3 linked regions of the Cricetulus griseus genome follow. The protein of the gene in region 2 interacts with the protein of the main gene of each other region in a pairwise test. Links are inferred from orthologs where the notes say so. Each region holds a gene or a part of one and is shown on either strand. Other genes may lie near its edges.

What was found.
Region 1: the proteins of Ctnnal1 (region 2) and Dmd interact in binary tests that used the Homo sapiens proteins (3 or more experiments, as listed by UniProt). The two-hybrid records come from large-scale screens. The link is inferred for Cricetulus griseus from reciprocal best matches to the Homo sapiens genes CTNNAL1 and DMD.
Region 3: the proteins of Ctnnal1 (region 2) and Rnf135 interact in binary tests that used the Homo sapiens proteins (3 or more experiments, as listed by UniProt). The two-hybrid records come from large-scale screens. The link is inferred for Cricetulus griseus from reciprocal best matches to the Homo sapiens genes CTNNAL1 and RNF135.

What each region holds. Positions count from the first base shown.
Region 1 is NC_048604.1:84,649,372-84,653,536, forward strand, and holds the start of Dmd (dystrophin), read right to left. Parts: upstream 2,807-4,165; 5' UTR 2,795-2,806; coding exon 2,634-2,794; intron 1-2,633. UniProt on the Homo sapiens protein: Anchors the extracellular matrix to the cytoskeleton via F-actin. Ligand for dystroglycan.
Region 2 is NC_048595.1:87,021,911-87,026,122, reverse strand, and holds the start of Ctnnal1 (alpha-catulin), read right to left. Parts: upstream 2,805-4,212; 5' UTR 2,721-2,804; coding exon 2,565-2,720; intron 1-2,564. UniProt on the Homo sapiens protein: May modulate the Rho pathway signaling by providing a scaffold for the Lbc Rho guanine nucleotide exchange factor (ARHGEF1).
Region 3 is NC_048600.1:93,649,117-93,653,400, reverse strand, and holds the start of Rnf135 (E3 ubiquitin-protein ligase RNF135), read right to left. Parts: upstream 2,807-4,284; 5' UTR 2,784-2,806; coding exon 2,436-2,783; intron 307-2,435; coding exon 166-306; intron 1-165.

The DNA.
Region 1 (4,165 bases), on a different chromosome or scaffold from region 2:
CTGGGAACTTTTGGAAACAGTATGATGCTTAACTGAAAAACACAGGGTGGCACAAATGTCCTTTTGGTCAATGTGTATTCTCATCCCTATAAAGTTTGCTCTATAAAAATTTTCTCTCTGCTAATTTAAATAAAATTTATAAAAAAAATGAAATGCAAAATATTGTCTCTGACTACTGTTGACTCCCATCCCATGACAGTGTTTGCCTCAACAAATGGCCTCTTTGAACACTACCCGTTTTTTTCTGTTGAGTGTACCTCATTTTACTCTATAATGCATTCTGTCTTCCCACCTGAGTCCTTTCAATAAAGATCACAAGTAACAAGGAGCTGAGACTAGACCAAAGGGAGATGTCAGTAACATAATGGATATCTTTTTCTTAAACCATGTCCTAGAGTAGGAAGAGAAGGAATTAGCATGAAAATTTAATCAGTGTAAAGGCATTATAATTTAATGTCCATGTTTGCTACATATTTCTTATCAGTTATCATTTTTTCCTCTAAATTGGAAACTGGTTTCCTTTCAACTTCACTGTAATGGGCATTGTGTTTGAACATAAACCTTTTAAATTCCAAGGTCTCTTTGCTCTGTGTCTTTGTTCTATATAGCTTAGTCACTCAATAATTGAAATCAGGGCACTGAATGACATTCCTAAGAATGCCAATGACAATCACCTTGGAACAGAAAGTCCAACCATGTTTTTTTTCTGTAGATAAACAATATTAACATCTGTCAAAGACAAAAAGGCAGATGATTCATGAAACAGCATTAAGCAACTGTGAGGAACCTCTTGAAAACTAAACATGTAATGTATAAAAAAATAGTTATTGATGCTCATTCAGTACCAAGTAGGAAAATACATAAATGCAGATACACTGTTGCAGAGAAAGAGTGGGTCAGGGATAGTACAGGCTGGATGTTTCCTGTATTACTTAAATTATATTCAGGAATTACAAAAAGAAAATTATCAAATATGGTGTGTGAACATGCAGTGAAGCTATCTCACACTTGAAAAGAAAATATTAAAGAGCCTACAAGTAGCACATAACCTGATCCTCAATATTTTTGTTTATCTACAAATTTATACATGAAGAGAATGATCAATATTTCTTCAGGCCCTTAATGTGAAACATGTGGCTGCATTAATGAGCAGGAACTTATGATGTGGAATCAATAGCTCTATCTCTTCTTACCTGACTGTACTGAAGCTTGGAAAATGTTTCTTTTGTTGTACCTATGAAAACCAATCTGTTTACCTTGTTAAATGTGTGGATTAGGGCCAGTCAGGCTCCTTTTCACAGTCAGGTTTGCTGAATCACTCACCTGGAAACCCAGTCTGGATGGGGCTAATTAAGCCCAGCTGGAGCATGACACCTGACAAAGATGCTTACTTTGAGTTTGCCCTTGAGTTCAGCCTTATCACAAGGAAAATTTATATTCTGACCTTCTCTGTAAGCAAGAGTGGCATAGAAAAATGGTAGACTTGGAGAAAAAGAATAGGGAACAAAGTAAAGATAAATGTAAGTGACAAAAGATAACCTACATGGAGATTCAGGGAAGTTTAAGTCCAATGGCATAAAAAAATTAATTTGACCATCTTTAAAGAGACAATTAATAATAAGACCAAAAGTAGATATTTCTTGAAGGAAATGTAACTTTGTGTATCATATGTAGAATGGTGCTGTATAGCTTATACATATGAAAGTATATATTATATATATATATATATATATATAATATATATATATATCCTACATGGATCTAATTTTCTTTGGCCTATCATAAATTAATTCATTAAACTTTATTATCTAAGAAAAGTAAAGCATTATTTCATCATTTGAAGAACCATAACACAACTGAACTATAGTAAAAGCTGCTTAGTTCATTATGTTATGCTGTTATTTTTATGAAGGTCCAAAGAGCTGTTCCTTATTTCACAGAAATTGCTTCATTGCTATAGAGAAACTGCTTCTTTTGAAGTTCTGAACACTGTAATTTAGAACTCACCTTACCCCTCTTTTTGCCATGTTTGCTAAAATGTTTGGTATTTCTTTTAATCCTGATGAGAAAAAAACTTCCAGGGCATCCTGGTGTTTGCTATGTAAGCTTCTGTTTCATATGACAAATAATTACCTGTACATTATTTATCTGATTTCACTAAAACCACTTACATGACATTTACAGCAACTTTTAGTTAGTTATATAGTCTAGGCTCAATCTGATGCATATGTTTCTATTAAAACTATTAAGTCTCCTTATTAGCAAAGATATGAAATAACCTGGCTGTTTAGGAATCTCAGGATAAAATGTGTTCAGGTTTGTTTCTCCTTCAAACATCATCATATGTAACTTAAAAATTAGAAAATATAATGGTCATGGTGTTTAAAGCATGTAATCTCATTACTCAGAAATGAGACAGCACTATCATAATTTTTAGGTAGGTAAGGCCTGCCTAGAGGATACCCTAACTCAAATAAACAAGCAAACATAAAAAAGCTTTCTCTGTTAATCATATATACTTAGATTGATATTGTTAACAACACGTGGCATAGTAGAGGGGCCACACTGCAGTAAAACACACCATCAGTGTCTAAATCAATACTTAAAAACAATTTAAATCTCAAAAAACTCACCTGTGACTGTGGATGAGCGCATTCAAAGCTAGGCCATCAGACCAGCTGGAGGTGAAGTTGATGACATTAACCTGTGGATAATTACGTGTTGATTGTCGAACCCAGCTCAGAAGAATCTTTTCACTGTTGGTTTGCTGCAATCCAGCCATGATAGTTTTCATCACATTTTTGACCTTGTGTTAAAGAAGTTTTCAGTAAGAAAACACATTCCCCAAACAAGTATTCTTCACATTTTAACAAGAATGCACCTAGTTTCAGGGATAAACTGTGGAAATAATGGGGATGTCTGTGTGTGTATAAATGTGTGTGTGTGTGTGTGTGTGTGTGTGTGTGTGTGTGTGTGTGTGTGTGTGTAATGATATTTTATGGTATTTTACATTTGTTTATGCAGTAGAACATTTGTTTAATAATGCAATGATGTATTGCGTTCTTTTATATCGCATTTGTTTAACTCGGTGAAGCTGTGATTCTTTCCCTCTCTAAAACACTTGATAGTTTAATAAAGATATGAATGGCCAATAGTAAGGCAGGAGAAAAGATAGGCAGGGCTGGCAGGCAGTGAGAATAAATTGGATGAGAAATCTCGGCCAAAGGAGCAAGGTTGAAAAAGAGAGGAGGATGAAAACGGCCAACCACCCAGCCACACATCAAGACATGGAGTAAGAGTGAAAGTAAGATATACAGAAGAAAAGGAAAAAGCCCAGAGGCAAAAGGTAGATGAGATAATTTTATTAAGGAAAGCTGGCTAGCAACAAGATAAGCTAAGGCTGGGCATTTATAAGTAACAATAATCCTCTGCGTGGGATTTATTTGGGAGCTACATTTGGGCCCCTGAAAGAGAAAAAAGCAAATAGTAAAGAGTTAAAAAAAAAAAAGAAACAACTACTATAATTGGCTAGGGATCAGTTCTGTCTGATTGGTGGCTGAGAAATATGCTCAGTAATATCATCCCCACAGTCTAGCATTCTAAGCTACTGTTTTGAGAATTGCTCTTTTTGTGGCTTTCAATAGTCTAGAAATGAGAGGGCATAAAATATTAGACTTATTGTTAGGCAATAATAAGATAAATCACTAGTGTTTACAAATAGAAAAAGCAGTCATAGTAAAAAAATGTTTGTTTATAATAACAAAACTGGCTTTAGAAGGTTGTACATATATATGTATATGTATATATATGCACACCACACATACATAAGATTAATAATCAAATAAAAAGAGGCTATCAGTTTCGAGGTTGAGGGGACACATCAGGGGTTGCAGGGAGGATAAAAATGAAGTAATTCTATATCAATTAAATAAATTTGAAAACAAAAACATAGCCAGGTGTTGGTGGCACATGCCTCTAATCCCAGCGCTCGGGAGGCAGAGGCAGGACGATCTCTGTGAGTTCGAGACCAGCCTGGTCTAGAAGAGCTAGTTCCAGGACAGTCTCCAAAGCCACAGAGAAACCCTGCCTCTAAAAACCAAAAAAAAAAAAATTTTTTTAGAAATTACATTATCTTTTCCTTTTCTACTAACTTACTAGATGAAAT
Region 2 (4,212 bases):
CCTTCAGAGTCATCCCTGATTCAAGCATCAGAGCCCTCAGAGCATTTATTATTGATAATATTCATTTGATACTTGGTGTGTGTGTTTGCTATTCTATACACGCCCTACCTCCCAACTAAAATATATGCCCTTTAAAGAGCAGCAACTATTAAGTGTGAGATAAATCCTTACTTAAAGTATTTAAAATATTCTTGGAGAGAAATTAGTTGGATAATAGTGCTCTATCTATGGCAGAGAAACACTTGGACATGAAAACTTTCTAGAGAGCTAACCACTCCCTGCTCCCGCTGCCACACACACACACACACACAGAGAGAGAGAGAGAGAGAGAGAGAGAGAGAGAGAGAGAGAGAGCTTCACACAATTCAGGCTGACCCCAAACTCTTAATTCTCCTGCCTCTACTTCCTAAGTGCTGGGATGACATACACGAACCTCCAATGTTTATGTGATACTGGGAACCAACCAAGGGCCAGCATCCCAACTAAGCTATATTCCTAGCCCCAGTCTTAATATTTTAAATTCACTGAAACTTTAAAATCAGTCTAAATTATCTTTATGTACTTCCCTGACTTGTTAATCAAGCATCATAAGCATGCCTTATGCATCTCCTGATACAATGGGGAACTTAATTTTGTCTTGTTGAGAACAGTCTACCATTAAGCCTATCAGTTGTGGACCTTGACAGAAATACAACTGTGGTGTGCGGTACCTCTGCTGTGATCCTGAGTAAGGCCTCATACCAATCCCGGAGGATTGTTTACCCCTCTAGTTAATTTTTAGCAGTAAATACTCTCCACACTCCAGAATAAAAATAAAAATAAAGCTGTGTAGTACTGGTAAATTTTTAGCAACCCTACTATACAAAGTTACTGTTTTTTCCAGATTAAAGCTCTCTGGCTAGTTTTCCTACTGTGAAACTTTTTCTTTGTAACCACTCTGTGCTGACCTCATCCCCTCCTCTAATCTCTAGAAGGGACACAGGAGTAGCTAAAAGTTGACTACTGAAACCAAGCTGTCTGGATTCAAATTCCAATTTGTCAGTTAAGAGTTGAACTCGATAATAACAGGTTAATTGATCTAACTAACCCTCAATTTCCTCATCTGCTTCATGAGAATATGCATATATCTCACCCCATGGGTGGTCAAGAATTAAATGAGTTAGCACTGGCAGAGTGCTTAGAACACAGCCTGCATCGAGTATTAAATAGATGGATAAAACACTATCCATTTCAAGTCCATTACTCTCATCCCTCTCCCTTGTGTAGAAGTGCTTGGGCATTTCTCACCACTTATGGATTGTTGTTTTCCTGCTGATAGGGATGTGGGGGGAGTTCTCCAGGGTGGAAGGAAGTGTAGACACTGAAAAGGAGCAACAGCACTCTTCCCATTGATCCATACGTCCATCACTCAGGAAGAGGGAAAGCCGCAGAGTGTAGTAACCACTGCTCAGCTAATCACAGGATGCAGGGAGGAAAATGGGGATAATCCAGGGGACATATATAAAATTACAGCTTTCAAATATTTTCTGGACTGGGCTGGAACAGAGGCAACATTTAAAAGTCTATGGAATACTGACAACCTCCCCTTCACTAAAAGTGTTTATGTAAGGCATCGGTGGCCAGGTGTTGTTGTAAGAAATTATTTTTTAATTTAGAGTCAGATAATTTAAGACTCTATCTCTAAAATCTTGGCAATCCTGGCATGAGTCACCAAGATGTTACAGCTTAGTATGAGTCACACCCATCGCCAACGGGCAGCCAAAGACAAAATTCTTCACTTGGTGTTTGGCATAGTACCCACAACTGTAGGTGAGGAATTCTAGCCCTCAGGTTATGTATATATACCTCAGCTCGGAGAAACAAACCTTTCTTTCTTTTTTTTTTAATTTTTATTAAGCACATCACTTAGCTGATTCTAGACTCCTTTTATAACCCACAAACACAATAATGCACTAATCCCAACTGAGAACTGGCAAAAAGGTGTGCAACAGGATTAAGCACCAAGCACTCCTTCCCCCGTCACTCTGCCTAGTCCAGGCAGACGGAGGTAGGCAGGCAAGTGACACGGAGGGACAGGGCAGGTGGCCAGAGTGGGTGGGAGTTGGGCCAGCACACACACGGTCAAGGGAACGGGACAAAGGCCTTGGAGAATATGCCGGAGTGGGAGCAAACTGTAGTGCCTTAGTCTGCATCCAGCGCCCTGGTCTGGCGTGGGATGTGGACAGCGGCGGTGGCGGACTGCGCAGATGCAGCCGCCTAGGCTCTGGGAGCCAGGGGACCCCACAGGGGTCCTACCGTCCCACGGCTGGGCCTCACTGGGCAGAAGCCGCAGCACCAGGCGATTCCAGCCGCCTAGGCCGGACAACGCACCTGCTGGGCTCGGTCGCCTCACCGCGCGCCCAGGAGTGGTCGCCCCGCCCCAGGCCACCACGCGAGTCCTGCCGTGCCACCGCCGCGCTCGCGGAATGCGGGACAGCGCCGCCTCCCGCCCCGCCATGCCGGGCCGGGGAAGAGCGGCAGCCGCCATCGCCGGCCGCGCACACGGGGGATCGGGGCCGCAGTACCTGAGAAACCAAGGGCAGCAGCGTCTGCTCCACCGAGCGAGTTCTGATCTCCAGTCCCGAGTCGAAGGCGAAGCCAGACGTACTGGAGGAGTGGACAGCTCCCGCGCCGCCGCCGCCGCCGCCGCCGCCGCCGCCGGGGACCGGAGAAGCGGCCATAGTCCTGGACTGATCGTACAACACCTTCCCGCACCAGTGAGGGGCCCGCCAACTAGCCTGCCGCCGGTCGCCTGCCGCCTCTCTGCACCGAGGCCCCACCCCTAGCCTTGTGCCACCGCCTCGGCCCCGCCTCCATGAGACTCCAGGCCCTATAGCCACGCCCCCACGCGGGCACCACCGCCTCGGTCCCGCCCCCAGGCCACTCCACCCTCGCTAGTTCCGCCCCCAGCCTTGCCCCCCTACCCCCGTATTGGTCCCTCCCACCTGCCCCCATAGTCCGAAGCGCCGCAGTGGTGGCTCATCAGCTCCGCCTCTACGGCGGCACTCCCCCTTTTAGCTCCACCCCAATCCCCGGGAGCCCCACCTACCCGCTGCTATTGTCCCACCCCTGCCGCCCTGTAGAAGGCACCAGTGCCTCTTTGGGGTGTGTGCCAAAACAGATTTTGCCTAAAGCAGGAGAAACCAGACACCTGAGGGCCTCCCCAGGTTCACGAAGCCTCTCACCAGAAGACAACTGTCCCCAGCAGAGTTTCCCACCAAATCCATTTGCCTCAAAAGTCAATTCTGAATCTCCATAAATATTTCTGCAAGTTTAGATGGGGTTGAAAATGGTAGGGAACCTCTGCCCTGAAATGGCAATTATACTTGTAATTATCTTTCCATGGCTTCCCAAGAAGGTCCACCCAATTTTCCCTTCACTCCTATTTTCTGATTATGTATCTCTCACACTGAGTTGAAACATTTGATACATTCAAGTAAGCATCTTGATACTCAGCAAGAAGGCAGTGGATCTTGCAGGCAGCATCTTTAGAATTCACTTTCAAAAAAATTTAAAAACAAAAGTTGCATGCACTGATAAATACTCCATCTTTTTAAAACTACTTTTTGCAATTATTTTAGTATTAGCTAAGAACTAGCAGCGTGTTAACTGCTCCTTCAAAGAAAAGATTGTGTCTATTTCTGACTGAAGTCACTTAAGGCTAAGAATCCATTCTCGCAGCCCAACCATGAGCTCACACAGAATCCCTGTGATGAGGAGTGCCAACACTCCTTTTCCTCCAGTTTCCAGGAACAAAGCCAAAGAAGGCTTTCAAAAGCCTGCACCTTAGGAAGGATTCTAGACTTAAGCAACTGACTGAGAAGCATAAGAAAGTATTTTTGAAGGACCATAGCTACTAACAAGCATCTACCGAGACACAAAAAAGAATCTGAGACTGGCTTTCTCCATCAATAAAGTTAGACTGATGGGTTCAACTTGCAGTGCTGAAAGCAAACTTGCAGGGCTTAGCTTCATCTGCCGAAGCAGCACGGGTATCTGGTAATGGAGATAGCAAAACTCGCTTCTTTTCTTCCTTAAAAAAGAAGAGCTCCTGAATTCAACTCATATCCCAATTTTTCTTTTTCTTTTAGATTGTGTTTATATGTTGGAATGTGCAGTGCTTGTGAAAAACAGAGGCATAAGATCCCCTAGAACTGGAGCTACAGGTGGTTA
Region 3 (4,284 bases), on a different chromosome or scaffold from region 2:
CAGCTTACTCGAAGCTTCCATTAACTCATGTCGAGCATGCCAGATTTCTAATCACCCATATTTGGTAGTAAAGAGAAACATGAGACCTGTTGCATCCCATGTGTCATACTGCTTTAGCTGGAAGCTGTCCTTCACCCTGGCCCCTCCTTTCCCACCTGAACCTACCATGCCCAGGATGCCTAGTTCATTGTCCAATCCAGATCCCGGTCTTGATGTTTGAAGGCTCTTGACAATGTCTACAAGCTGTTGCATCAGTTCTGTCAGCTCCTGGATGACCTCTTCTGTGGTGTTTTTCTGTACTGCCACCTTTAAAAGAGTGAAACTGGGCTTCTGGTTCCCAAAAACTGGACCCAGAACCACCACTCAACAAAGGGAGCTATAAACGCCAAGGTAGCAACATGAAAGAAAACATTTAGAGTGATGGAAAAGAAGAGAGAGACAAGAAACAAATCTTCAGATATACCATGAAATAGATTTTTACAAGAATGCCAAGACTACTTAAAGGCACAAGAAGTATTTTCAACAAATACTAACTAGAAATGTATATCCCTATACCAATCAATGAAGTTAGATCCTTTGGTTTGTTTTTGAGACAGGTTGTCTCTACGTAGTCCTGGCTATATTGGAGCTCTGCACATAGACCAGGCTGGCTTGAAACTCACAGAGATCTGCCTGCCTCTGCCTCCTAAGTGTTGGTATTAAAGGTGTGCACTACCAACGCCTGGCCTGAAGTTAGATTCTTGCCCAATACTATATAGAAAATCAAATGAGAGGCTGGGTGAGAATGCATGCCTGGAACCCCTGGGGCCCTCAGATAAGTCCCCAATTGAAAAGAGTAAAACTGAAAATAGGAACTCAATTGTAAGATAATGTACATTGTAGCAGTAGTTATAATAGTCGAATGTAGAAACAATTTAAATGTTCATTAACAAATAAATTGATTAGAAAGTGATATATCTACATAGATGATATGATAGCCACCTAAAGCAAGGGTGTTCTGATACATGCTGCAACATGAATTCGCCCTGAAAATATTATGGGAATGAAAGAAGTTAGGCATGGGCTGGCTCAGAGGTTAACAGCACTGGCTGCTCTTCAAGAGGTCCTGAGTTCAATTCCCAGCATCCACATGGTGGCTCACAACCATCTGTAATGAGATCTGGTGCCCTCTTCTCTCATGCAGGCAGAATGTGTACGTAGTAAATAAATCTTAAAAGCAAACAAGAAAGAAAGGGAGAGACAGGAGAGAGAGAGAGAGAGAGAGAGAGAGAGAGAGAGAGAGAGAGAGAAAGGGAGAAAGGGAGAGAGGGGAGAGAATGAGGGAAGAAAGAGAGATATACACCCAGGGCAAGATGCCAGGCAGCTACCAGCCAGCTAGAGAAGAGAAGCAGTAAATTAAAATAAACCTTAGGAACGAAAAGTAAAAAGCTTGAAGCAAAAGGAAAAGAAAAAAGGGGGGAACAGGTTAACTTAAAGAGCTAGCCACAAACGAGCCTAAACTAGGCTGAACATTCACAACTAATAAGAAGGCTCCATGTCAAACCCGGCAGTGGTGGCCCACAACTTTAATCCCAGCACTTGGGAGGCAGTGGCAGGTGGATCTCAGTGAACTCAAGGTCAGCCTGGTCTACAAAAAAGAAGTCTCGGAGTCATATTTGGGAGCTGATTGGTGGTTCAAAAGAAAAAGCCTGGTACAGTAGATGAGACATGTGCGGAGGCTGGAGGGACAGGAATCAGGTGTTATAGCTTAGTGGGTACAGAGGTCCTATGTGGCGATAAAATCACTTTGGCAACAGCGGTGACAGATGCACAGTGTTGGAGATATGACAAATGCCATCGAACTGTACACTGAAAAAAATTGTTCAAATGGTTGGCCAGTCATGGTGGCACATGCCTTTAATCCCAGCTCTTGAGAAGCAGGGGCAAGCAGAGCTCTGCAAGTTCAAGTGGTTCACACCTGTAATCCCAGACTTGGAAAGCCAAGGAGGCAGAGATCATTACTCACTTCAGGTTCAAGTCCAGCTTGGTCTACACTAGTTAGATCCTGCCCCGATAAATAGAATTAAACAATGTTAAAATGGCAAATTTTTTAGACATCACAGAAAGGCTGTCGAATAAATGGAAATACACCTCGGTTGGATGGGATTTAGATTTTCAACTATTATGAGATTTTTAACTATCGTTTGTGACCAGACCTTACTATGTAGCTTTGGCTGCTGTGAGGCATGCCCGTCTCAGCCTCCCAAATCCTGGGATTACAGGCGTGCGATCTCCACGCCGGGCATTTCTACTTCTTTATACAAGTCTGAACTTTTCAAAGATACTCCCGAAAACAGATTAAACTGATAAAATCACGTAGCGGAAGAAGAGATCGCGAAGGCAGGAGAGGCCCAAGGGGGCGCACGCGGGCTGCCAGAGCGGTGTGGGCTTCCTACCGGCGGTGGCGCGGGGCGACTCGGCGACCGGGGCGCGGACGCGGTTGCGGGGCCAGCCTCGAGCTCGAGCGCCGCTTGGCGGTACTTGTCCGCCAGGTCCTGCAGCAGCAGGTTCTTGCGCAGCTTTGGCTTCGCCTCGGGGCCCTCCCGGCAGGTGGGGCATGCCCAGGGACGGCCATCCACACCCGCGCGCTGCGTGACCCACAAGCCATTGAGGCACCGGTGGCAAAAGCTGTGGCCGCAGGGCAGCGTGACGGGACAGTCCAGCAGCCCTTGGCAGATAATGCAGCTCAGGTCCTCCTCGCTCAACCACACAGGAATCGAAGTGCCTAGGACTGGGGCCGCCATACTGGGCGGTGGCCTGGAAGGCTCTGGTCTGCCCCACCCACTTTACTAGCTCCGCCTAGCCCACCGTATGCCCCTCCCAGCCGCTCTCATTCTTCCCAGCCTCTAAAAGTGCTTGGCGTTGCTAGCTGGTTGACCTCCAGCCTGGAAAATCATCTGTCAATCCAGTGACTCCCGCTCCTACATCCATAACAAGCAACCCTAACAACTTAAACTATGAAGAGGGCTCGCTACAGGAACTCATTTTAGTGTTGCGCCCAGTAGGTGTCGCATTTTGTTTTCTGAGATGTGCGCAAACAAAACAAAAAAAACGACTGAGTAGCAGTGCAGCGAGGCTGAGGATGAATTCAGATTTGTTTGTTAGTTTTTCGAGATAGGGTTTCTCTGTGTATATCCTTGGCTGTCTTGTAACTCGCTCTCTAGACCAGGCTTGCCTCAAACTCCCAGTGATCTGCCTGCCTCTAGCCTACCCAGTGCTGAGATTAAAGGTGTGCACCAACACCATCTGACTACTTATTTATTTATTTATTTATTTATTTATTTATTTTGGTTTGTTTTGTTTTTCGAGACAGGGTTTCCTGTGTAGCTTTGGAGCCTATCCTGGCACTCGCTCTGGAGACCAGGCTGGCCTCGAACCGACAGAGATCCTCGAGTACTGGGATTAAAGGCATGCGCCACCAACGCCCGGCCTATTTTTTAAAATAACTTTATTTATTTGTTTGTTTACTTATTTATTTATAATGTGCATTGGTGTTTTGCCTGCACATGTGTCTGTCGGGTCCCCTGGAACTGGAGTTACAGACAGTAGTGAGCTGCCATGTGGCTGCTGGGAACTTCACATCGGTCCTCGGAAGAGCAGTGTTCTAAACAGCTGAGCCATCTCTCTAGTCCCCAGAAATTATTTTTAATAATCTCCTAGCAGGGTTTTTAATTGAATTTTTAAAAAAATATTTTATTTTGGGCCGGGCAGTGATGGCGGCACACTCCTTTAATCTCAGCACTCAGAAGGCAAAGGCAGGTGGATCTCTATGACTTCGAGGCCATCCTGGTCTACAGAGCTAGTTCCGGGACAGTCAGAACTACACAAAGAAACCCTGTCTCAAAAAAAAAAGAAAAAAAAAAGAAAAAAAAAAGTAGGAAAAACAAACAACCAAGCAAATGAACAAACAAGCAAAATTCACTTTTTTTACTTTTGAGGAATTATACCAAAAAACTTTTTTAAAAAAAATTTAAATGCACTTTATTTTTAAATAACCTACATGACATGTTTTTTCTTTTCTTTTTTAAATTTATTTACTTATTTTTATTACGTATACAGTATTCTGTCTGCATATTTGCCTGCTCACCAGAAGAGGGCACCAGATCTTATGAAAGATGGTTGTGAGCTACCATGCCGTTGCTGGGAATTGAACTCAGGACTTCTGGAAGAGCAGCCAGTGCTCTTAACCTCTGAGCCACCTTTCCAGCCCCCGACATATTTTTTCTTTTTCTTTCTTTTTTTTTA